Struthio camelus: one gene and its partners. The protein of the gene in region 3 purifies or fractionates together with the protein of the main gene of each other region. This does not show direct contact. Links are inferred from orthologs where the notes say so. Each region holds a gene or a part of one and is shown on either strand. Other genes may lie near its edges.

What was found.
Region 1: the proteins of PDE4DIP (region 3) and PRKACB purify together in Homo sapiens (affinity purification with mass spectrometry; 5 studies listed by BioGRID and IntAct, counting the BioPlex papers as one, with this or other methods). This does not show direct contact. The link is inferred for Struthio camelus from reciprocal best matches to the Homo sapiens genes PDE4DIP and PRKACB.
Region 2: the proteins of PDE4DIP (region 3) and CDK5RAP2 purify together in Homo sapiens (affinity purification with mass spectrometry; 3 studies listed by BioGRID and IntAct, counting the BioPlex papers as one, with this or other methods). This does not show direct contact. The link is inferred for Struthio camelus from reciprocal best matches to the Homo sapiens genes PDE4DIP and CDK5RAP2.

What each region holds. Positions count from the first base shown.
Region 1 is NC_090949.1:21,796,097-21,803,029, reverse strand, and holds the start of PRKACB (cAMP-dependent protein kinase catalytic subunit beta), read left to right. Parts: upstream 1-3,914; 5' UTR 3,915-3,995; coding exon 3,996-4,182; intron 4,183-6,933. UniProt on the Homo sapiens protein: Mediates cAMP-dependent signaling triggered by receptor binding to GPCRs.
Region 2 is NC_090961.1:7,999,804-8,007,024, forward strand, and holds the start of CDK5RAP2 (CDK5 regulatory subunit-associated protein 2), read left to right. Parts: upstream 1-4,202; 5' UTR 4,203-4,208; intron 4,209-7,221. UniProt on the Homo sapiens protein: Potential regulator of CDK5 activity via its interaction with CDK5R1. Negative regulator of centriole disengagement (licensing) which maintains centriole engagement and cohesion. Involved in regulation of mitotic spindle orientation.
Region 3 is NC_090949.1:9,276,640-9,284,036, reverse strand, and holds the start of PDE4DIP (myomegalin), read left to right. Parts: upstream 1-4,397; 5' UTR 4,398-4,622; coding exon 4,623-5,771; intron 5,772-7,397. UniProt on the Homo sapiens protein: Functions as an anchor sequestering components of the cAMP-dependent pathway to Golgi and/or centrosomes.

The sequences.
Region 1 (6,933 bases), about 13 Mb from region 3:
TATATTTTAAAATATTGCCAGGACTTAGGTGATAGGGTTAAGTGGAAAGAGAAGTTGGAGTTTCATTATTGCCTGTAGAACAGAAATTTTAGAAATCGGTTAGAAACACTGAAACAACTAACTTTTTCAGTGCAAGTAAAACACGTCTTAAGTTGACTGCCTAGCTAGTTTGGATTGACTGTGATTGGAGCAGTTGGGAGGGATGCAGCAGACATGCTGAACCGCGGCTCGATGGTGCTGCGTTGCGTGCCGGCCCCAGGAGCTCCCCGGTGCCCCGGGCTGCGTGGGGCTGTGCTGGGTGAGCAGAGGGGTGCTTCTCAGCACTGCCTGGCTGCTGAACAGTGGGGCCGACCTGGACCGCAACTGTCTGAGGCAGCTGGCTAGTTTTAATGTCTTCAAGCATAAACCATTTTAGATAATAGTATAACAGAGTTTTATCTTTCTGTTAAAGCTGGCCTAAAATAAAGTGTTTTTTTTTTTTTTTTTTTTTGGTGACAAAGTGAAAAGTTTCCTAGGGACGGGACAGTTCCCTAGAGGCAGAGACTGTCGCTAGAGGAAAAAAAGAAAAAAATTGTTCTATGACAGTAAATGTATCCTAATCAGGCCTGATGTGATATGGACACATCTGTGCAGCTGAGCTGACCCATACCTGATCCAGCTTTTGTAGCACTGAGTTGGTAGGACATGGACGACTTCTGGTCTGGATGAAGTACGACTGTTTTGCTCTTTCAGGAGAGCGTACTGCCTTAACCACAGTAGCATAGTGATAACACTACACAGCTTTCCATCAAAGCTGCCTCCATTTCTTCTTCCCGCATGAAGCATGAGTAAGATGAGATTAAGGCTGCTTGCATGTGTCTATGTAAACATTTAGTAGTGTTTAAAGTTTCACAAACTGTTCTAAGGGAAAAGCATTACTGGCTGGCAAATGGAAATCCTTTTACAAGCTGAGCCCCAGAATTTTGTCATTGATAGAGCATCGTCAGTCACTGAGCTCTGTGTGTGTGTGTGTAACATACTGCCTATGTGGAGCTTGTGTGGTCCGTGCCTCATATGTAACAGAGAAAATACTTGGTGCCAATAAATTAATACTATGCTGATTTGTAAGATTAGTATGTCAGTAAGATGAATGATTAGATGAAAGGAAATAGGAGGGTCCACCTTTAAACAGTAGAGGAATGAGGGAGATGGATTACTTCACAGAAAATCAGTGTGGTAGTGTACTTTGTTGTCCTGGACAGTGCTGGTCTGCTTGTGTGTACTAGGAAAGTGTGTTACTGTCTGTGTATCGATATTTGAATAACAAACTATGGATGTGACCAATACTTTCTTTTTGTGTTTTGCGTGTGTGGAGCAGACCTTGTTCTGTGACAGTGTTCACTGGCAGTAGTTTGTAAAATTTTGGCAATTAAAGGTAAATCCAGGTTCTCTCTTTGGATATCTTCTAACATTCCTTTTTTGATGCCTGTTTTTACCTAAACCCGTTCAGTTCTTGGATCTCCAAGGATCGATATTTCTGCTTCCTGTTTTTTGGGACCTAGTTCAAGTATCCAGGTGTCTAGGTTAGGCACTTCATTGCATTCACAGCTCTTAATTTTGGTGAGCAGGGTTGTTCTCTGAAAATACCCAGATCTCTCCATTGACTATAAAGGCCACATAGACTTTAACTTACATAAACTGAATTTTGTGAGTTGCTGTCTTTGGGATCAGGGAGGTGAAATAGTTTAGCTGAAGTGTAATAAAAAATAAGACTACAGAACTGTAAAGGAAAGGGTGGTGGGAAGGGAGAGAGAAAAGTTGAACATACCTTCATGGCATGGGGCTTTGTTTATTGGGGGCAACAGCCAAGGTCAGAGAAGATGCTGAAGTCTCTTGGCAAGCTTCCCTGGATGCTCAGCGACTTGCACGTGCTGCGGGGCAAGGCCAGAGAATCCAGAGGGGCTCTTCTCGCCCCTGAGCGTTTTAGAGGGATGAGGCAATGAGCAGGGAAATAGGCATACTGTTTTTGTCTAGCTCTTTTTTATACTACTATATATAGAGTGGCACAGCATTACTCTAGCATAAAGTGTGTGGTTATATGTGGTGTATAATATATCCACAGGGCCTGTTTGTGCCCCTTATAAGGCAGGCTAATCCCCGGAGCGTTCCCTAGTTCCATGTTTCTGGCAGCAGGAGCACCGAACCTGCTGGGGTTTCCTGGAAGTCAGCATTGATCCTGGGACAAAGGAAGTAAAAGCCAGAGAGGCTGAAGGTAGAAAAAGAGCTGCAACGGGCTGAGACCCAGGGGAGGCTGTGGTGCCTTAGCCTGCTCCCACCAAGTAGCCTGGTCACCGGCTAGCTAGAGGGTGCTCAGCCAGATTTGCAAAATGTGGCATAAAAATGTGAGCGTTCAGGCAGTTGGTCCCAGCCTTTTGGACAGGCGCTGCAGAAAGAATTGCATCGCCAGAGTGCATCTAGAGCCTGAAAGCACAGGGCTTCTCCGCGCTGGGTACAGGTTCTGGGAACTTAAACTGTGGTGCGCCTGCTGGAGGGGGCTGGTGGCAGCAGCTCTGTAAGTGACCGTGGTGAGGAACATGGTCCAATCTGTACAGCCTGGCCCTCAGCTTTATTGTTTTATCATGAGCATAGGCATTTTTGTCATCATAGTGGGTTTTTTTTTCCCCTTGAAAACCAGAAGCTGTTATGAAATAGTTATGTAATGTCCAAGGATGGATATCTGATGACATTTGGAAACTACTCAGGGAGAAGTGTGGTGGTGAAAAGTAAAAGGTATATCTTTAATACGTGTTGACTGTAAGACAGAAGACAGATTGAGACAAGTTATTTAAATCTTAAAGATTTAGGACTATTCTTAAGTAAGTAACCACACTTTATGTGCTGGCGATATACTGGGAAACCTGCCCAATGTATGTGTTCCCATTTTCACAGAAATGAATTTCTTGTATTGTCCATCTTAAGCACGTAAAATTATATGATTTAAAAATAATATAATCTAAGCTAAATACTGTTTTCAGTTTATTTCCTCTATATTCTGAGCCATGATGAATGATGCTTTCTAGATTTATTCTGCAGTTAGAAGGATCCAAACATCTTGCAAAAAAAAAAAAAAAAAGTTTCTTACATAATTCCACAAGTCTTGCAGTTGGAGCTTCTACACCAGCAATGTCGTGAGCTGGGGACCACGACTTTGTGACTCTCCTTCCAGCTGCCTTTGGAGCTGGGAGAATGAATATGCTGTTAAAGGAGGATCTGCCAATGCTGTTCATTCTGATAGTTTATCCCTGAAAAAATTAAATTCTCTTGGTTCATTCCCAGAGTAAGCAGAACTCAGTATGAATAAATATAGTGTAGTCTTGTTTTTGTGTACTTTAGAATTATTGAGCTTCTTTTAGTCTGATTTTTCTCAACATAAACGAGGAGAATAATTTTTTTTTGCAATAACAAAATAATAGTTTCTTCAGTAGATTTTTTGCAAGTAACCTCCTTGCTTAGAAAGTGGTTCTATTGAAAACGAGAGCTTACTAATGATTATATTACAGCTGGTTAAGTTTGTTGTGATTACGGTAGTACTCCATCTTACCAAGGAGAGCTGCGGCGTAGTTACTTTCCTTTTTTCATGTGTGGCTGTGGTAAACTAGAAAAAAAATCTGGCTTCTGATCTTTATTTCTGAACAAGTTTCTGAACAAGTTTCTTACATTTTAATGTAAAATGTATATTTTAATATCAAATGTGAGTAAATATTAAACTGTAAAAGCACATGCTAGAGCAGTTTTTGCAGCTTTTTAAATAACTATTTTCAATTGACGTGAAAAGAGGCTTTTGACAGTATAAAACAGTACATTATAGAGCTTTTCTTAACAGGAAGTAGAAGAGAGTAGTGGTTAGAAAACACTGCCTACAGGAAGTTTGATGCATGCATTGCTCTTAGTGTCCCTGAGTTCAGCTCCTGTTAGATATTTTCTCTTTTGCTTTGCTGAGTTGCCAGAGCGCATAGATGGCAGCTCCGAAGGAGATCCCTTGCAACCAGTGCACAGGGACAGCCACAGCACTACAGAGACTGGAAGGTTTTGCTAATCGACTCTTTCATAGGCATTCGAAGGGTGGTGCACACGAACAGAGAGCGGCTCTGGAGAATGAGAGCCATCATTTCTCTGAACTTGCTGTCCTATGGGACAAATCAAGTAAGTAGGGTTTTTGTTTGTTTTTATAGATATTTTCTCTTCAGTTTGCACAGCAAGGGAAGAACTTGCATATTTGTAGTTGGATACAGATACTGAGCTGTGATGCATTCCAGAGGCAATTTTACAATTTAATACCGAAAGGTGTTAATTTGAAGAAAAACCTACTGCATCATGCAGGGGGAAGAGTGGTACCATTTCAGAGGACTGGGTGGCTGGTGGGAGAATTTATTCCTGGCCCCTTCTTCTCTGTTAAAGTACTGTTGACTTGTTTAGACAAGGTTTCTCCTCACCCGCAAATAATTTTTTGCTTATAAATTATTTCCTTTCTTTTCAAATTAAATCTGCTGGTTCAGCAGAAACAGAAAACCCATTAAAAAGTGTAGTGTTTAAACTTTGGAATGGGCAGACATTGCACAGATTAGACTTCTAATTACAGGACTCTTCATCATTTGTCACTTTATTTTAACATGTGCTATTTCAACATGTGCTGTATAGTGGTAAACAACATAATAGTTAAAACCAATTTTATGTATTAATTTAGTATGGGAATGCTGAATATCATTAGCTTTAATTTCTTAGTTAGCAAACCATTTATGATATGTGTTGCTTAAAACCTTTCATGATTGCATTTTGCGTAAGAGAAATGAGAGGTTTCAGAAATACCACAGTGTAAGTAAATTGTCATTTGATCTTCGTTTTCTTCTTTTAAAGCAATGCATTATTTTGCAAGTCAGTTATTGTCTTTGTGGTTAAATATTCATTTTAAAATGTTACAATATGGTAATTGATGATAATTTTGTGCTGGATTTCAGTTTCATTGATGGATTTGGAATAGCACAATTATTTCTGTTGGAAATAGGCCTTATTGGCCTATTAAACATCACCCTGTTACCATGAAGAAAGACAGTGTTAATCTTTCTCACTACTTTCAATTTGAAGTATTGTACCAGTGGGGACTGAATCTGTTCTCGGAGGAGATGCAGTAAACATGGAAGCAAAAAGCTGTTAATGCATTGGCCTAAAACAGATTAAATCTAGGTCTTCCAAATGAGATGGAAAAGGATAGACTAGTCTTGTTGGGAAGATAAATGATGAAAGTGCATGAATTGTGAGCCTCCATTCCTCCAAAATATCTTCAAGTCAGTAAAAATAGACACATGCTTGTGTTTATATAGAAGCTCTTTTTTTATATAAGTAGCTATTTGAGAAAAAATGACAACTGAAGCATCTTTGTTTATTTAATACAAAGAAAAAATGGTGTTGACCTACTAACATTTACAAATTGTGACCCGTTTGTGTACAAGTCTCTACTATTTTTTTTCCCCTCTATTTAAAGCAAGCTTCCTTGTATGACATGTTTGACAAGGAAATGGAATGTCGTGTCTTTTGGTGATAAACATGGTGAAAATGGTTGTTCTATAAATGCTATTTTAAGTAATGATTAAGCACAGTGGTTGTATATAATATTTTCCTAAGCAAAGTTAGTGAGCTGATAGCTGAATTTTGGCTGATTATGTAAGTTTGGGTTTAGGATGAAATTCTGAATACTTACCCTGAATATTTGCTCTCAATGCTTTGCTCTCAATTATCTCAATGATAGTATTTATTCAGAAAAATAACGAGTAGTTTAGGTACACATGGACTAAGTCTGCCTTTCTAGATTCTCATTTCACTACCACTTGAGCTCAAGAAATGATAGAGAAGATAGGGAGTATAGGGACAGTAGCGTTCTTGTGTACTGCTGACTTGCAGAAAAAGACAGCATCTGTGAAAATTATTTTCTTGCCTAATAGTTAAATATCATAGAATTGCATCAGGTCATAGAATTCAGGCCATAGATCAAATTCATAGGAAGTTTAACAAGCAAGCACTGTTTTAAAAACATCATACTGTTGTCTTGTAAGGATATCTGAATATTCACAACTATTCTGCCTGTATCACTGCAACTTATAAAATGTTCTTGTTAGGTTTTAGGTGAGGCTAAATAGCAGAAGTTTAGTGTGGATTGCTTCTGAAATTTGAGACAAAAGCGTTGTTTAATTCCCAAAAGAAGTTTGGGAAATGACTTCTCGGATTTTATTTATTTGTTTTTTTAGTTTTGAATTGGAATTAATTTGAAAAGAAAGTTAATATATTAACACCTTTGGCTATAATGAAATGTTGTAATAGATCTGTTTCTATGCATGTCCTCTACAGAGGAGTTACTGCTGAAGCTACAGCTTTGTTGAAGAGGAAGGAACTGCTTCTTGCTGGGTGGACTTTATTTGTTTTAAATGTTGTCCGTCATCCCGGGTTGTGGATTAGCTTAACTTGTCATGTGATTTGAAGGCTGTAGAGTTTTTCAGTGGTTGATTTTGAAATTGATTTCATGTCTTTGCTTCCTTGTTTTCATATGTAAAACAGGTTGTTTCTAACATGCCTTGGATTCCTGGTAATGTATGAAACCAAGCGAATTTATTTTGAAAAATGTTTTAGAATCTGATGGGTCAGAAATGCCTCAGGATGCCACAGGCCTTCGAATTTATTTAGAAAACTTGACTGTGTGTGTTAATGAAGAGCTTAAACTAGTAATCGGATCAATTGTGCTGTACAGCCAGCAGATGAAAGGGATACTGTGTTAGTCATCAGAGCTGTACATTTCTTTCTTAGTTTTACATGTCTTGAATATGATCAGCTGCAAGTATCTGGGGCCTGTGTTTTGATTTTTGTTTCATTTTGTTAGTTGCTTGTTGGTCTTTGGAAGATTGAGGA
Region 2 (7,221 bases), on a different chromosome or scaffold from region 3:
TTCAAATACATCTTCCGGAGTCCAACAGACAATTCCTAGCGCTTTATCTGCATTGAATGAAACATAATCTTTGCCACTTAGAACACAACAAAGCTAGATTTCTTCATACTTCTCTTGAATTGCTAACACATAAAACAGAAACACAGCCCATTTTCACAGTGAAGTTCTCTTCTGAAACAGTTAGTATATTAACCAAGAGTATACAAATCTGCTTCAAAGCTAATAGGCTCTTTTCCTTCCAAACACACTTCTTCACATCTGTTCATTCTCGCTCTCTCCACTTCAATAGCAATAGTATTTGGTAAAGCTCTCCAAACTGTAGCCATTGCAGAAAGACTGTATTTACTGATGTTTGGGTAAGAACTAATAAGAGACCTGGTTGTGTCTCTCTTCCTCCAATTCCAAAAAAAATCAAGTCAATATTTATATACTCACCGGTGAAATAAAACCCCTCTCCCTGGAGGGGAGGGAAATGAAATGAAGTGATTGAAATGGATTTCACGGAAGGAGATTTTGTTTGCTTGCTTGCTTGTTTTGAGAGCTGGGGAGATTATTTTTTTTTTCTTTTTTGTAATTTAAATGCAATTGTATTGCACAGAGTGCATCAAAGTGACTTCACAGTGGGAGCTTCCATTGAGGACCAAAAGCTCAGGAGCCTTTGCATGCTGCTTGACCCATCGCTGTATTTAACAGAAGCTAGGCTCAGGTACGTAAGGGGCTGGAGTGTCTCCATTCCCACAAAAAGCTGGCTCAGGATGCACCCGGCTCAGCCCTGATTCAGGTCGAACCCTCAGAGCGGAAGCGGTTAACATTCCAGCAAGTTAGATACAGAATAAACAATTTAATCAGCATTGTTCTAGCTCTCCCAAAAGCTCATCCAAAGTCTGTTAAGGGCCAACGGAAAGATTTGCATTGACTTCTCAGGCCTTTAGAACATGCTCTGATTTTAGTAAGACTTTTTGCTTGTATAAACCCATGGCAAACTTCAGCCTTTCTGCTATACTGTGCCTTTGAAAAGAAAAGGGCTATGGATAAGAGATTTGCTTTTTGCCTGTGACAAATTGCCTTGCTGGTCTTCCCCCTCCACCTACAATGAGGCTCTGGGGCTTGTCTGTTTTGTCTGATTCATAAACCCTTTCATTAAAATAATAATCGAGCATTAGGTACCCTGATCCCACCACCAACATGTCTGTTGAAGGTAGTTTCCCTCTGCCAAAGGCAAATCCTACCAAAGCACACACCTGGGCTGACTCTCATACAGCTCTGCAATGCTTGAATTTTCAGTGTGAGCTACTTCCATGGCAGCCAACTGCAGTATTATGTCTGCAGCATGATTAGCATCTCCGCACTGTGCTTAAGGATGGAACAAGAAGCCTTTATTTATAACTTTCCTATCAAAAGCATCTATTGTTCAACCCTACCTAAGAAAGTCACTATTACTGTGGTATTAAATTGTTTTCAGAAAGGACTTTGAAGCCTTTTGCACAAGATAGCTAAAGTTTGTATAGCAAAAAGGGTCACTGGGATGTATTTTACCCTAGGCTGCTGAAAAATCGTTTCCTGGGCTAGCTACTAGAGCTGGCAATGTATCAGCTCTCCTGATGTGGTTTAGGAGCGTTTAAAGGACCAAACTTTTTCTTGACGTAAATTGACGGAGTACCACTGATTGCAGCCAAGCATCCCCCATTCGCCACGTAGAGAACTTGCAGCAGATTTGTAAGTACTTGCAAATAGAAATAAAAACATAAACACTGAATGCTCCATAGATTCCTCTCTGCCCTTAAAAAAAAAAAAGTGGGGAGGGATTGAATATTAGCAAAGTAAATCTGACTTTACATTACAAAGCACATCAGGAAGATAAACACAGTAAGTTTCCTGTTATTTGTTAAATTGTCCCAGTCCAACTATGGCAACTTCCTCCTACTTCTAAATAACATGCGGACAGAGGCTTGCATGAACAGCTTCAAACTAGCGAGCAAAATCCACCAGGCAAAATCCACCGTTTCCACTGCTCAAAGTTACAGCAGAAGAACTGCAATGAACTTCAGTGAGTTCAGATGAATCTTCTATTCATGTAACAGCACTGAGAATTTGGCCCTTACATATTTCAGAAATGTAACCAAGGCAGTAAGTCCTCATTTGACCAAATCAAAATGTTTTAAAGCCTGTTTCCTATCTTCCCAAAGTCTCTGGGAGTGAAGAGGAGCCTTGTCATTGACTAGGGTTAGATCAAGGTCAAGTTTTACACTGCAAAACCAAGAGAGAGATAGTGTTTACTCTCCAATTTCTCAGAAAACCGTCAAATCCCTCTTCATATGGAACATTTCATTTATGCGTCATTTACAAACTTTTCCACTGGCAAACTCACCACACTTAAAGATTTTCCTCATACAAAAAGTATATTTTGTCAATACCATCTCACTTCATATTAAGCCTGAACACCCATCCTTCTTCTCTTATATTGTTCTTCTCTAGGATTTATTGTGAGCTAACATTAAGCTTTTTTTTTTTTTTTTTTGCTTGTTTATACCTAAAAGGCAGCTTTTCATCTCACTCTATTTCTCAGTGTCTCATAGGAAACTCTTCTCCAAATGGCTCTGTCTCCTTTCCCACCAAATCCCAGCTTTACCACACAAGCCGGTCCAAAATTCACGGCAAGACTTGCGTTAATCAGCAGAACAGAATAAGCGAGACTATTTAGTACTTTACATCTTCAAAGACTTGAATACGCAACAACTCTTTGTTAGTGTTTTCCTCGGTGGATGTGCCCCAGGCAGGGAGTGGATACAGTGCTCTCTCTTTAATGCTGATATTGCGCACCTGATAGCCGCGCGGTCCAACGGCTAATGCATCCTCAGTAGGTAACTGATGTGGGTAACGTGGCTCTCATTTCAGCCTTCCCTAAAATAACAAACAGAAAACACCCAAACCAGCCATCCCCATCAAACACACGGCAAACAGGTCACGAGTACAAAAAACGCTTTGATGCACCTACCGTGCCTTTCATCAAAGCATCCTGAAAGCACTTTGCAATTACTAATGTGATCCCTAGTTCATCACTCACCCACACAGTTTTCCCTCATTTACCAGCTGGATATGCAGAAAGCCCCAAAGACTAAAAGGCGCAATTCTGAAAGAGATGCCTGAGCCGTCACAGGTTCCCCAGAAATCCCTGAGCGCTTGCGCATCCCACCCCACCTCGGAAAAAAACAGGCCATTAGTAACTTGTCCCGTCCCAATTACGGTGAGTAGCAAAGCAAGGAAAAGAGCCCAGGACTCCTGCTCTGCAGCCCCACAAGTCCACCGAGCTTCAGCTCAACACGCATTGCACTCGGTAAGTATTGCAAAACACACGCCTGGCCTCGGTACACGGTCAGCAAAGGGACCTTGTGGAGAAAATAAACAGTTTCTCTGTACTCTTCACCCCTTCATCTTGACCTGTTTTTTTTTTTTTCTCTCTCCTGACATGCCATTATTAAACAACAGGAACAAACTAGTTTCTGTGTAAAACCTTCCCCAAAGTAGTTGGAAGATAGCAAGAAATGCCAAGGTTTCTATTTTCCTCCCCCCTCCTTTTTTTTTTTTTTAAGGGGAAATAACACGGAATTAAAATATTTGTAAACAGCACTGATCAGCATTTTATTTTATAACTTTTTTAAAAAAATTTTTATTTTAAATCCAACAAAGACCCCCCTCTCCCCCTAGGAATACTAGGAGGGGACTATGCTGAAAATTATAGATTCCAGAGTTTGCAAGAGAACCACAAAAGCTTAATTATAGTTATTGACATACCAAACACCCACTGAAGGCTTAAGCTTCCCTTGGCCAGAAATAACCACACAAAGCGAAGGTAAAAAAAAAACGACATCAAACCACCTCAGCTAGGGACAGCTTATTAAAGCACCGAAGACATGCCTTGCTTGCCTCCCCGTATCTCAGCCTAAAGGAGATGGTCGGGAGGGAACAGTTGCTGTCATCCCACAGGCAGACTTTCAAGCCGGTTTGTTTAGGGCGGGTTTTATCCCCCATCAGGTAGCTTTGCACAAGTTACCCCTTTCCAAACGCCTCGCTCCAGGACTGTGGCTTTAACAAAGGCCCAGAAGAGCTCCTGACTGCTGAGAGAACCAGCGTTCATCGTGACCGTGCAGTGCATCCTCGCTACTCCCCGACTGCCTGCGTCCCACCCTCCCCAGGGACCGGCAGCAGCGATTGCGGAGGGAGGTGGCTGCAGGAGAGGCTCTGCAGGTAGAGGTGCGACACCCATGGGAATTAGCAAATGTCTGGACTGCTCCAACCCAGCCCTTCCCTGGCCAGGCCTGTTTGCTCTCGGGATAGGGGCTGGCAAGGCCTGAAGGAACGGCGCTTGTGGGCAGCTCGCTGCCCTCTGGGCAGACTCCACGCCGCCGCCAGCTGCAGTCAAATCAAAGCGTGTGTGTATAAAGCGATGCTAAAAGGGTTAGAGAAGGTGGAAGCATCAGCTGGGGTGTTCAGAGGGAACCTATGGGAGGCTAGCGAACATCAGCCCTTCCGGAGGGACCCTAGTCTTAGGTCGCTGCCACGTGGCATCAGCTGAGCATGCTGCTAAGGGGGCCCAGCCTGCTCCACAGCTATCAGCAACTTACGGCCCGTCCTGCTGCGCTTCTCACGAGCAGCCTCACAAAAACTGCAAACACCATCTTGAGACAGCCTCGGAAAGGCAGGGAAGATCCAGATTAGCAAGGCAAACTAGACACAAGCAGCAGTGAGGGCTTGGTCACTGCCAGAGAGAAAGGCTGATTCAGAGCTGGGGAGACATCGCTACTAGAAATGAGCTTGCCATCGAGTATTTTCACTCACTTTCATTTCATCAGCCTGGAAAGCCCTCATCTTTCCTCCCTTGCCTCCCAACCATGGGATGGCATCTGAAGGGATGGAGATGCCTATTCAAGCTGGGCTACGTTTGCCTAAGCCTTACAAGCTCATCACCTTCTACTGCAGTCACGTAGCCATGTTTGTGCAGTGGCTCTCAGTGCTCTTTACAAACAACAGGCTGGACCACAAAGCCCTCACTCAACTTAGAGAGAGTGTATTCATGCAAAAACCCACAAGGAAGCTTCTAGGACCAGCAGGAGTAAATAACTGACCGCGGCAACACGTGTTTCACATTCACGTCAAGTACCTTGCACCTCTCCCATGTGATTGTTGAAGACTGGGGACAAAGGCCAAGGGCCAGACACGCTCCACCCCAGGTGGCGACTATGCTGCACTCAAGTGATGTAGCTACAAGGACAGCAAGTTCAGGTGGACCAAAGTCAGCTCTGGTGCTCTCAGCCCCCAGAAAGTCCCCACACTTATTTTTTCCATTGAGTGACATTGCCCTTGCCCTGTACACTGTACAGCACAGATGTCATCTATGCAGCTTCATCACTGGTCCCTTCCCAACAGCCTGCGGGTTTCGACACCATATCTGTTTCATGCAGCAGTGCTCACATGACAGGCTTTGATGAGAGCTGTTCCCCAGCCAATCCACACAGCAGACAAAAACCTTTTGTAAGAAGGGAGAGGTCTGAATTAACCCTTTTTTGTGGCAAACTTTATGGCTCGTACATCCAGGAAATTTGTCACTTAACAGCAGGGCCCAGTGCCCAGCATCTATCCTTGCTTACATGCTATTTAACTGGTGGCACATCTGTAACCTGAGACACAACCAAGAGGCTGCAGTAAAACTTCTTTAGAAGGGATACAGCCAACGCTGGGGCAAACCAGAGATCTTCCAAGGAGAAGCGTGGTGCCAACAAACACCTAGCTCTGTGGCTATAGCAATACTTGGTACTCTAATTCACAACAGGGATGAAAGAACTCTCCCTAAATCGAGAACAGAGAAAGAAAATAGAATGAAAGTCAAACCTGAATGGACTGGTTATTGAAAACAGCAATACCATACTGATTTGTCTTTCATCTTCTATGCACCAGCTTTAGTCCACTAAATCACTACAGAATTCACTGGCATTATTCCTAATTTTACAGTGATTTGGGAGAAGGGGGGGACAAAGGCAAGCAAACAAAATCTAACTGCCTTCACTGTTTTGTTTTTCTGGTTTTTGTTCAGCCAAACAAAGAGGAGGTTCATGTCCAAGCTGACTGTAGAGCCCACAGAATGCTTTTGCTCAGATGATCTCTTTAAAAACAGTTTGCAAATTTGGCACCCAGCATCTTCAGCAACTACCATTTGCGAGTACTTTCTTATCTCCATCTGGTCACTATAAAAACTTTGGTGACTTTAGTTACTGTTGCTACAGATTAATCAACTTGCTAAGTCCCTCTAAAAGAGCAGGAAGTCCTCCAAAAACTGATCCCTTGGTCATAAAAAGAACAAAGCCAGGAGTAGATTAATCACGATGTTATTTCCAATGCAAAAGTCCAAGCAGAAAAAGTCTCAGTTTCAATAACAAAGCTCACCCATCTACACCAACATGCTTTCGTTCTTGGTGTCAGAGAAGAACACGCTGAGCAGAAATCCAAGTAATACAGCAAGCTGTATGAGAAGAGCATGCTGGTGGAAATAAGCAGCAGAATACAGACTATGTGAACCACAACCAACCAATACTGCCAGGTTTGGCTGCCTTCCCTGTGTCCGCCAGCGTCTAAGATTTCCCACTGCAGTATGAGCCAGGCAGCAGGACTCCCAGGCATCACGTATGTGTAGCACAGGAGGAGGGCAAGGAAGGGGGAGTCTAGGAGTGCAGCCTCAAGCTACTATTGTTTTTAGTCAGGAGTAAAATACCAGGTGGTTGAACACAGGCACGCCAAAGATATTATGAACTGAGCTCACCTAAACCTGACAGACACTAAAGGAAAGGCAAGATCACAGGATGTGAAGGAATCTGGTGATGAACAGACATGGCTATCTCCATATGCCTGGGAGAAGTTTGCAAGCCTGTCTCAGTGATGCAAATTGGGATTGGACAGACTGAAAACAACCACCTGAAAGAAAGGCCAATTTTAACAGTGTCACCTGTCCTAAAGCGCCAAAGCCAGAAGAGCAGCTTTGGGAAGCAGCCTGGACATGATGCTGATGCAACGCCCAAGGACCAGCATTAGTCCTTGCAAAAATATCCTTTAAAAATACAACCTCTAAAAAAATCAGAAGCCAGAAGGCAAAGGAAAGGAACCCCAAATTTATTATCTTTGTCACATCCTGGTGAGTGTGAATTTAGGCTGTCGGGAAGTTGGCATTGCCAA
Region 3 (7,397 bases):
GCCCTGCGCCCACCACCGGCTCGCGCAGCCCCGGTGGCACCCACGGGTGCCCGGCCGCGCGCCCCCTGCCCGACCGCGGGCCCTGCGCTCCTCTCTCTCTCCGCAGGGACCCCTGCAGCGGCGAGCGGCCGGCCGCGCCGCCCGGAGCCAGCCGCATGGCGGGTAAGGGGCGCCCCGCCAGCCTCCCCCCCCGTCCCCGCGCCCGCCGTCGCCCTGCCCCGCGGAGGGCGAGCGAGGGGCGGGCGCCCCAAAAGCCCGCGTCCCCGCCGGCGCACACCCCGGAGCAGGGCGGCGGGGGGGGGGCGGCGCGTGCAGCGGCTCCTCTGACGGCCGCCCGCCTCGCTCCCCGCCAGCGTCCCCGGGCGATGCCCCGCCGGGGGCCGCGGGCGAGCGCGACGAGGCCGCCGAGCCGCCGCCGGCCGCTGGCCCCCCGCTCGGCCCCGGCCCGCCGCGCGGCCCCTCGGCGCACAGCTCTCTCCTCCGCGACCTGGCGACGGGCCCCCCCGCGCAGACGCAGACTTCGCTGCGGGACTTCGAGCAGGTCAGCCGCGTGCCGCCCGGCTCGTCCCCGCCGCCCAGGAGGCGAGGGCGGCTCCCCTCCCGCTCCCTTCCTCGCCGCGGGGTGGCCGGGGACCCCCGGGGGGGCCGGGGAGGGGACGGCCGCGCTCCCTCCCGCCGCCGGCTGCCGCGCGCCCGGGTTGGGGGGGGGGGGCCGCCCCGGGGGGCTCGGGTTTCACCGCTCGCCTGTCCCCTCTCCGCCAGGGATTCCTCAAATAGCTCCCGGAGAGAGAGGGGGGGAAAAAAAAAAAGGGAAGCGGCGGGGCGGCTGCGGCCACCCGGCGGGAGCTGGGAGCTGGGAGCAGGCAGGGCGGGCGCCGGGCGGCCGCGTCCCCAGAGCCTCGTCCCGCCGGGCCGGGCCGGGGGCGCCGGGCGAGGGGGGCGGGCGGGGATGCCCCCCCCCATGGAGCGCCCGCCATGGCTAACGGCTACCGCACGCTCTCGCAGCACCTCAACGACCTGAAAAAGGAGAATTTCAGCCTCAAGCTGCGCATCTATTTCCTGGAGGAGCGCGTGCAGCAGAAGGGCGAGGGCAGCCGGGACGAGGTGTACCGGCGGGTGAGCGGGCCGGCGGGCACGGCGGGTTGTCCCTGTGCCGGGAGGGGCACGGGGTGCCGGAGCGGGTCGGGGCGCCGGGGAGGGCGTCGGGGTGCAGCGGCAGAGCCGGGGTGTGGACGGGAAGCGGGGAGCGAGCATGCCGGCGGTGGGCGTCTCACGTCCTGCTTTGGGGTGCTGTGAGCCGTCTCGTGGGACTTCCACAGCCCCCTTGCTTTCTTTGACCGGAGAGGGAAGAGCGATGGGAAAGCCAGACGCGGACCCGCCGGCAGCGAAACGCCCTGTCGGCTCCTGCTGTAGCTCCCGTGGGGAAGGCACTGACGTTGGGGCTGGGCCGGTTGCCCCGTGCCGGCGCCGAGCACGGGCCTCCCGGGCCCTCTGGCCGCCTGGGCTTCTCGAACGCTCCCTGGCTCGGGGAGGAGAAGCGCGGCGGCGCCGAAATGGGGCTGCCGGCCTGTGCCGCGGGCAGCAGGGAGCCGAGCTGATAAATAACCCCAGGTGCTAGGAGAGCCGTCCGGCAGTGGCGGGGGGGGGGCGTGTGGCCGAGGGCACAGTTGCCCTCTCCGTAGCCGCAGGGCTGCGGAGGGGCGCGGGGCAGGCGGGCGCCGGGGCTGGGCGCCGGGTACGGGCAGACAGCTGGAGCGGGTACATCCCGTCCCGGCGCCTGCCAAAGCTGCGCGGGGCAGGCTAAAATAGCACCCGCGCCGCCGGGCTCGGCGGCGCGGCGCCAGCAGCCAGAGCCAGCTGGAGCAACAGCCCGAAAAGCCGGAGCAGCCGCGGCGGCTCCCACCCTCCCCGCGGCGCTGCGGGCCAGGGCAGCGGCTCCTGGGTCCCCGGCGCGGCGTGGGGCTGCCCTGCAGAGCACCCCGGTGCCATGCTCACCGCCCCCGGCCTCCCCTGCAGAACATCGAGCTGAAGGTGGAGGTGGAGAGCCTGAAACGGGAGCTCCAGGAGAAGCAGCAGGCCCTGGATAAGACATGGTAGGTGGGGCTGGCCGAGGCTCGCGCGGGGACGTGCGGGGTCCGCAGCGCCGGTGGCGCTTGCAGATGGGCACTAGGGACACCAGGTGTCGTGGCGCTGGGCGGTCAGTCCCCAGAGCGAGCCAGGGCTGCGGGCAGCGGTGGGGATTGGCAAAGGGGCCATGTGTCCTGCTGGGAGGGCAGGGCGGCCCGCGGGGCTCCTCTTACATGCCCGCTGCAGCGTAACCCGGCACGGCTGTTGGCGAGCCAAAAATAAAGGGCAGCACCTGTTTGCTGAGGGAGGGCGAGCGCTGCGCTCCGGGGGCCGCGGCGCAGGTACCTCGCTGTCCGCACAGCAGGGCTCTGCTGGGCACCGGGCGGCTGGGGGCATTTCCCTCCTTTTGGAGAGGTGCAGAGACAGCTTTGGTGTTGCAAAACATGCCACGTGCTGCCTAAGCTCCAAGCGGGACCTAACGACGCCAGATGAGTCAGTGTCCCAGGACTGTAGCTTTCCGGGTTTAAAATACACCATGCCTGGGTGCTCTTGCAAGAAAAGCAGCCGGTGCCCACTGGCGGGCTGGGGTAGGGGTGGGCAGGCTGGAGATGCTGGAGCAGCTGGGGCGGCTCGGCTCTCCCATCCCAGGCGGTTTGGGGTTGGGGCTTTTGCAAGCCTGGTGTGCCCCGCGGGAAGAGCAGAGCCCTGGCTGGTGGGGACGGGCATGCAGGGCCCAGGGCTTTGCATGAACCCCATGCTGGGTCCCGCTTGACCGGTCCCCGCGGTGCAGGTCCCTTCCCGAGGTCTCCCGTCCCTCTCCCAGAGAAGGGACGGTGCGGGGCTGGGGAGCCCCTGGCACAGCGGGGGCCATGCCGTGCCATGCCGTGCCTTGCAGGGTGGCCGCGGAGAACCAGACGAACCGCAGCGAGGCAGCGCTCCGGCAGCAGTACGAGGAGAGGCAGCGGGAGTCGGAGCACGTCTACGAGCTCCTGGAGAACAAGATCCAGCTCCTGCAGGAGGTGAGCGCCGGACGGCCGGGCGCGCGGCTGGCCGCCGGCACCCCCTCGTCGGAGGACGACGAGGGCTGGGAGGGGACCGGGGACGTCCCAGCGGCGGGGCAGGGGAGCCGCGGTCCCTCCGGCCTCACTTCCCGCTACCCTGCAGGAAGCTAGGCTGGCCAGGAGCGAGGCGGAGAAGGCCACGGCGCTGGCCAAAGCCGAGACGGAGCGGTGCCAGGAGCTGGCCGCGAAGCTGAAGGAGGCGGCGAGGAGGAAGGAGGAAAGCGGGCAAGCGGCTGACAGCAGCGCTCTGGCCCACAAGGACAGGTAGGTGGCCCAGGCCCCCCCACCCTGCGTGGCCAGCCCGTGCCCCCCGGCACCCCGGCGCTGCGCGGGGCCGGCCTCGCGCCTGAGCCTGCCCCGCCGTTGCCTTCCCTCGCAGGAGGATCGAGGAGCTGAGCCGGGAGCTGGCGGCCAGCAACCAGCTCGTGGAGCTGCTGTCGGCCGAGCGGCGCGACCCGCGGCGGCGGCCGGAGGGGCCGGCGGCCGCCCAGGCGCAGGTGGGTGGGCCGGCAGGGCGGCGGGCTCCCCCTTACTGCCCCCGTCCCCTTCGGGGGCTGCTTCGCCGCCTGCCCCGGCCTCCCCGCGGCCACGAGGCGGCAGCAGCCCGGCCCTCGAGCGCGCCCGGGGCAGGGCAGCCCGCCCGCAGGGTAAAACCCGGGTGTGAACACACCCGACGGCAGCAGCGCGCCCGGGGCGGGGGGGGGAGCCAGGGCCCCCAGGGGTCACGGCCATCCCCGCCGGCCGCGGGAGCTCCGGGACGGCACGACCCGGCCGGGGGTGCGGGGCAGGGCCCCGGCCTCGGGGCTGGCGCCGGCCGTGGGGCCGCGACGTGGGGCAACCCCGGCGCTGGGCCCACCCGACGGGTGCTGGGGCGGGGGGGCGGGGGGGAGGAAGGCTACTGCGCATGCGGGCCCGCCTGGCCGGGGCGACTACAAATCCCGGCAGGCGCCGCGGCCGCCGCGCACGCGCGGAGCTGCCGCCCGCCGCCATCTTGAAATCTGAGCCACAAGCCGGGCGCCGCCGCCGTGGCAGGAGCATCGTCGGCGAGGCGGAGGCGGGAGCGGGAGTGGCGGGGGCCGTAGGGCCGGGACGAGGGGGGCTGCGAGGAGACGGGGGGGGAGCCCCGGGGCGAGGGGGCAGGTCGCGGTAAGGGGGGCCCGCGAGGAGCGGGGCAAAATCCGGGGTGAGGGGCCTGGCCGAGGCGAGGGGGCCCGTGAGGAGCAGGGGGAGCCCTGGGCTGAGGGGGGCCGTGAGGAAGGAGAGGGGGCATCCCCGGAGAGGGGCTGGGCTGGGCTGGGGGTGTTGTAGAAGGGCAAGTTCCTGCAGTGCGAGGAGTCCCTGGGAGTCCCAGGGTGTGACCCCAGGCGGGGGGAGCTGGGGTGAGGTGTGTTAGGGGCTCGTGGCCTGGGCGATGCGCTGAGGGAGCGGTGGAGGCCTGGGGAAGGTCTCCTGAGAACCCCCAGGAGTAGTTGGGGGTGCTGGTCAGGAGGGAAGATGAAGGAAACCTGCCGGATTTGCGCCCGGGAGCTGTGCGGCAACCAGCGGCGATGGATCTTCCACACCACGGCCAAGCTCAACCTGCAGGTGCTGCTCTCCCACGTCCTGGGCAGGGAGCTGTGCCGGGATGGCAAAGCCGAGTTCGCTTGCAGCAAGTGTGCCTTCATGCTGGACCGCATCTACAGGTTCGACACGGTCATCGCCCGCATCGAAGCCCTCTCCATCGAGCGCCTGCAGAAGCTGCTGCTGGAGAAGGACCGCCTCAAGTTCTGCATTGCAAGCATGTACCGGAGGAACAATGATGACTCTGGCCCAGATGACAGAACTGGGGATGGGACCGTGGACCTTTCTAACCTGCCCGATGTTCGGTATGCTGCCCTCCTTCAGGAGGACTTTGCTTATTCTGGGTACGAATGCTGGACGGATCATGAAGAGCACAGCCTGGAACCACACAGCTGCCACGCTTCAGAGGGAGCGAGTAACCGCCCGCGGCGCTGCCGTGGCTGTGCCACGCTGCGAGTGGCCGATGCTGACTATGAAGCGATTTGCAAAGTGCCGCGGAAGGTGGCCAGAAGTATCTCCTGCGGGCCGTCCAGCCGGTGGTCAGCAAGCATGGGCAATGAAGAATCATCTGTGTGTGACACTGCAGAGTCATCTGGTGCCAGAGGGCCAGTGGATGGGGAGAGCATGGAGGAAGGCACGCCTGCGTCCTCCATTGAGTCGCTGGACACAACTGTGGAGGCTAGCCCTCCGCAGCAGAAAGACGAAGATGCAGATAAGGGGGTGAAAGGGAGCGGGAAATGTGACGATTTTGCAGAGGACCGCATGACCCCGAACTCTTCGCTGAGTGGGAATAGGCTGGAGTTGGCCCTCAGCTTGATCAAGGCTTTAGACTACAAACCCATTCATAGTCCCAGAGGCAGCAGACTACCTATTCCTGTGAAATCCAGCTTGCCACCTCCCAAACCCAGCCGTGACTTGGCAGATGGAAGTGCTCCTGCTGGCTTAGTGTATGCTGGTTCTGGTTTCCTGAATGCAGACAGGAAATCTCTTTCCAGAGCCCATTTGGGTCTTTCCTTGGAGATCTCTGACCTGCAAGAGCTGTGGGACGATCTCTGTGAGGATTATATGCCGCTTCGGGTACAGGTAGAGGTCATTGTGTAGCCTTTCAATTGAGCAGCGTCCCTGCAGCTCGACTCTGAGTCCATTAGGAATTCCTCCGCGTTGAGATAATACGGATAGCCACGTGTCACTGAACCACGGGCTAAGAATAGGCAGCTCAGTCCTTTTTAGGTGCGGTCCCTCTCCCTGTCGCTCTCCTGTGATATGGTTCCTTGTTGTTTTCTGGGAAATTAATCTTTCCGTCAGTCATATCTCCCTGTGAATGCAGGGTTCTGGCTGGGTCTGAGGTCTTTGCATGCTTTCTCATTTTCTGCTGAGAAAATGCCAGTTTCACTTCAGCTGTCTCTTTAAACAGTTGATTTGGATTTTACCCACAACTAAAGGGAGCGTTTTAAGCTGCTGGGCATGTGTTTTCCCGCAAACGTTTTTTCTTTGTGCCTTGGTAATGGCACAGTGTCAGGCATGTCTGTCTTCAGAGCCTTGCCTCAAACCAGCCCAACAGGCAGGTCTGTGCAGTGATCTGTGGTGTCTGCCCTAAGGAGAAGGTGTTCTCTTTGCAGGTGGATTTGTGCTAGTGGATTACTTTAGGGCTGGTATTCTAGATAATTGGTTTTATTTTTTTGATCCTTTAAAAAGATTCGTCAATTAATGGCAGTTATTGCTGAGAGGCGGTGAGCTCTCTTGCTTTCACAAGATGCCTTGGTACTGTTATCTGCTTAGATTTTAGTCCTGCTTAGATTTTTGTAGTGCTGGATTGTCTCTGCTCTGCTGGCTTTAATAAAATCTTCATTAGTATGCAGTCAAAAAGCTGAACTTGTTAACTCCTCTGTCACTTCCCTTAATGAAGGTCTCAGTCAGCTTTAATTCAGGAATATCCATGTCAGCCTAATTGCATTCACATTAGCAGCCTTAGTGCTGCCTAATACTCTAGGTAGCCTCAGGGAGTAGAAAAAATGCTTGTTTATTACTATGGCAGCTGTAGCTGTACCGAGCCTCACTGCCTATTCGGTGAGTGCTGCTTACTCTCCCATCTGCTCGGGTGTTTTCCAGAGCTGTGCGCTCCTTTCATAATAGTCTGCTCGAGAAATGACATTACGGAGGAATGGAAAACAGCAACATTAATTTTCACGCGGTGCACTAAGGCCTTGCGTTTGTAGCCTGCGATTGAAGATGTGAAGCAGGACATAGATGCTGCTGCTGTATTCTGTCAATTGCTGCTCATTTTTGCTCCTAGGGACGTATTTTCAGCATGAAAATAGAGTCTCTCTTAACAGAGCAGACAGTGATCAGTGTGACACATGAGTAGCTTGGCTTTGTGTCATGCCTTGCCATCCTTGTATCGTGCAATTGCTTAGAGGAGTTTCTTTGAACTCTGGCCTCTGCAGTACAGCAGTCCTGGCAGGGAATTCATCCTGCTGAATTCTTTACTTCCCATTTCTTGCCATCGCAACTACCCATCAGCAACTGGTGACCTCAGCGCTGGGTTTGGCAGAAGGGGAAAGCGCTTGAGTGTTCGGATGGTTTTAGTGGAAAGTCAGATGCTGCTAGTCAGCTAAATGGTTCTTGTGTAAATGATTTTTTTTTTTTTTTCTTTTCTGTTTCTGTATAAACATTACTCTTTCTAGAAGCCAGGTGCTGCTCTCCAGTGAT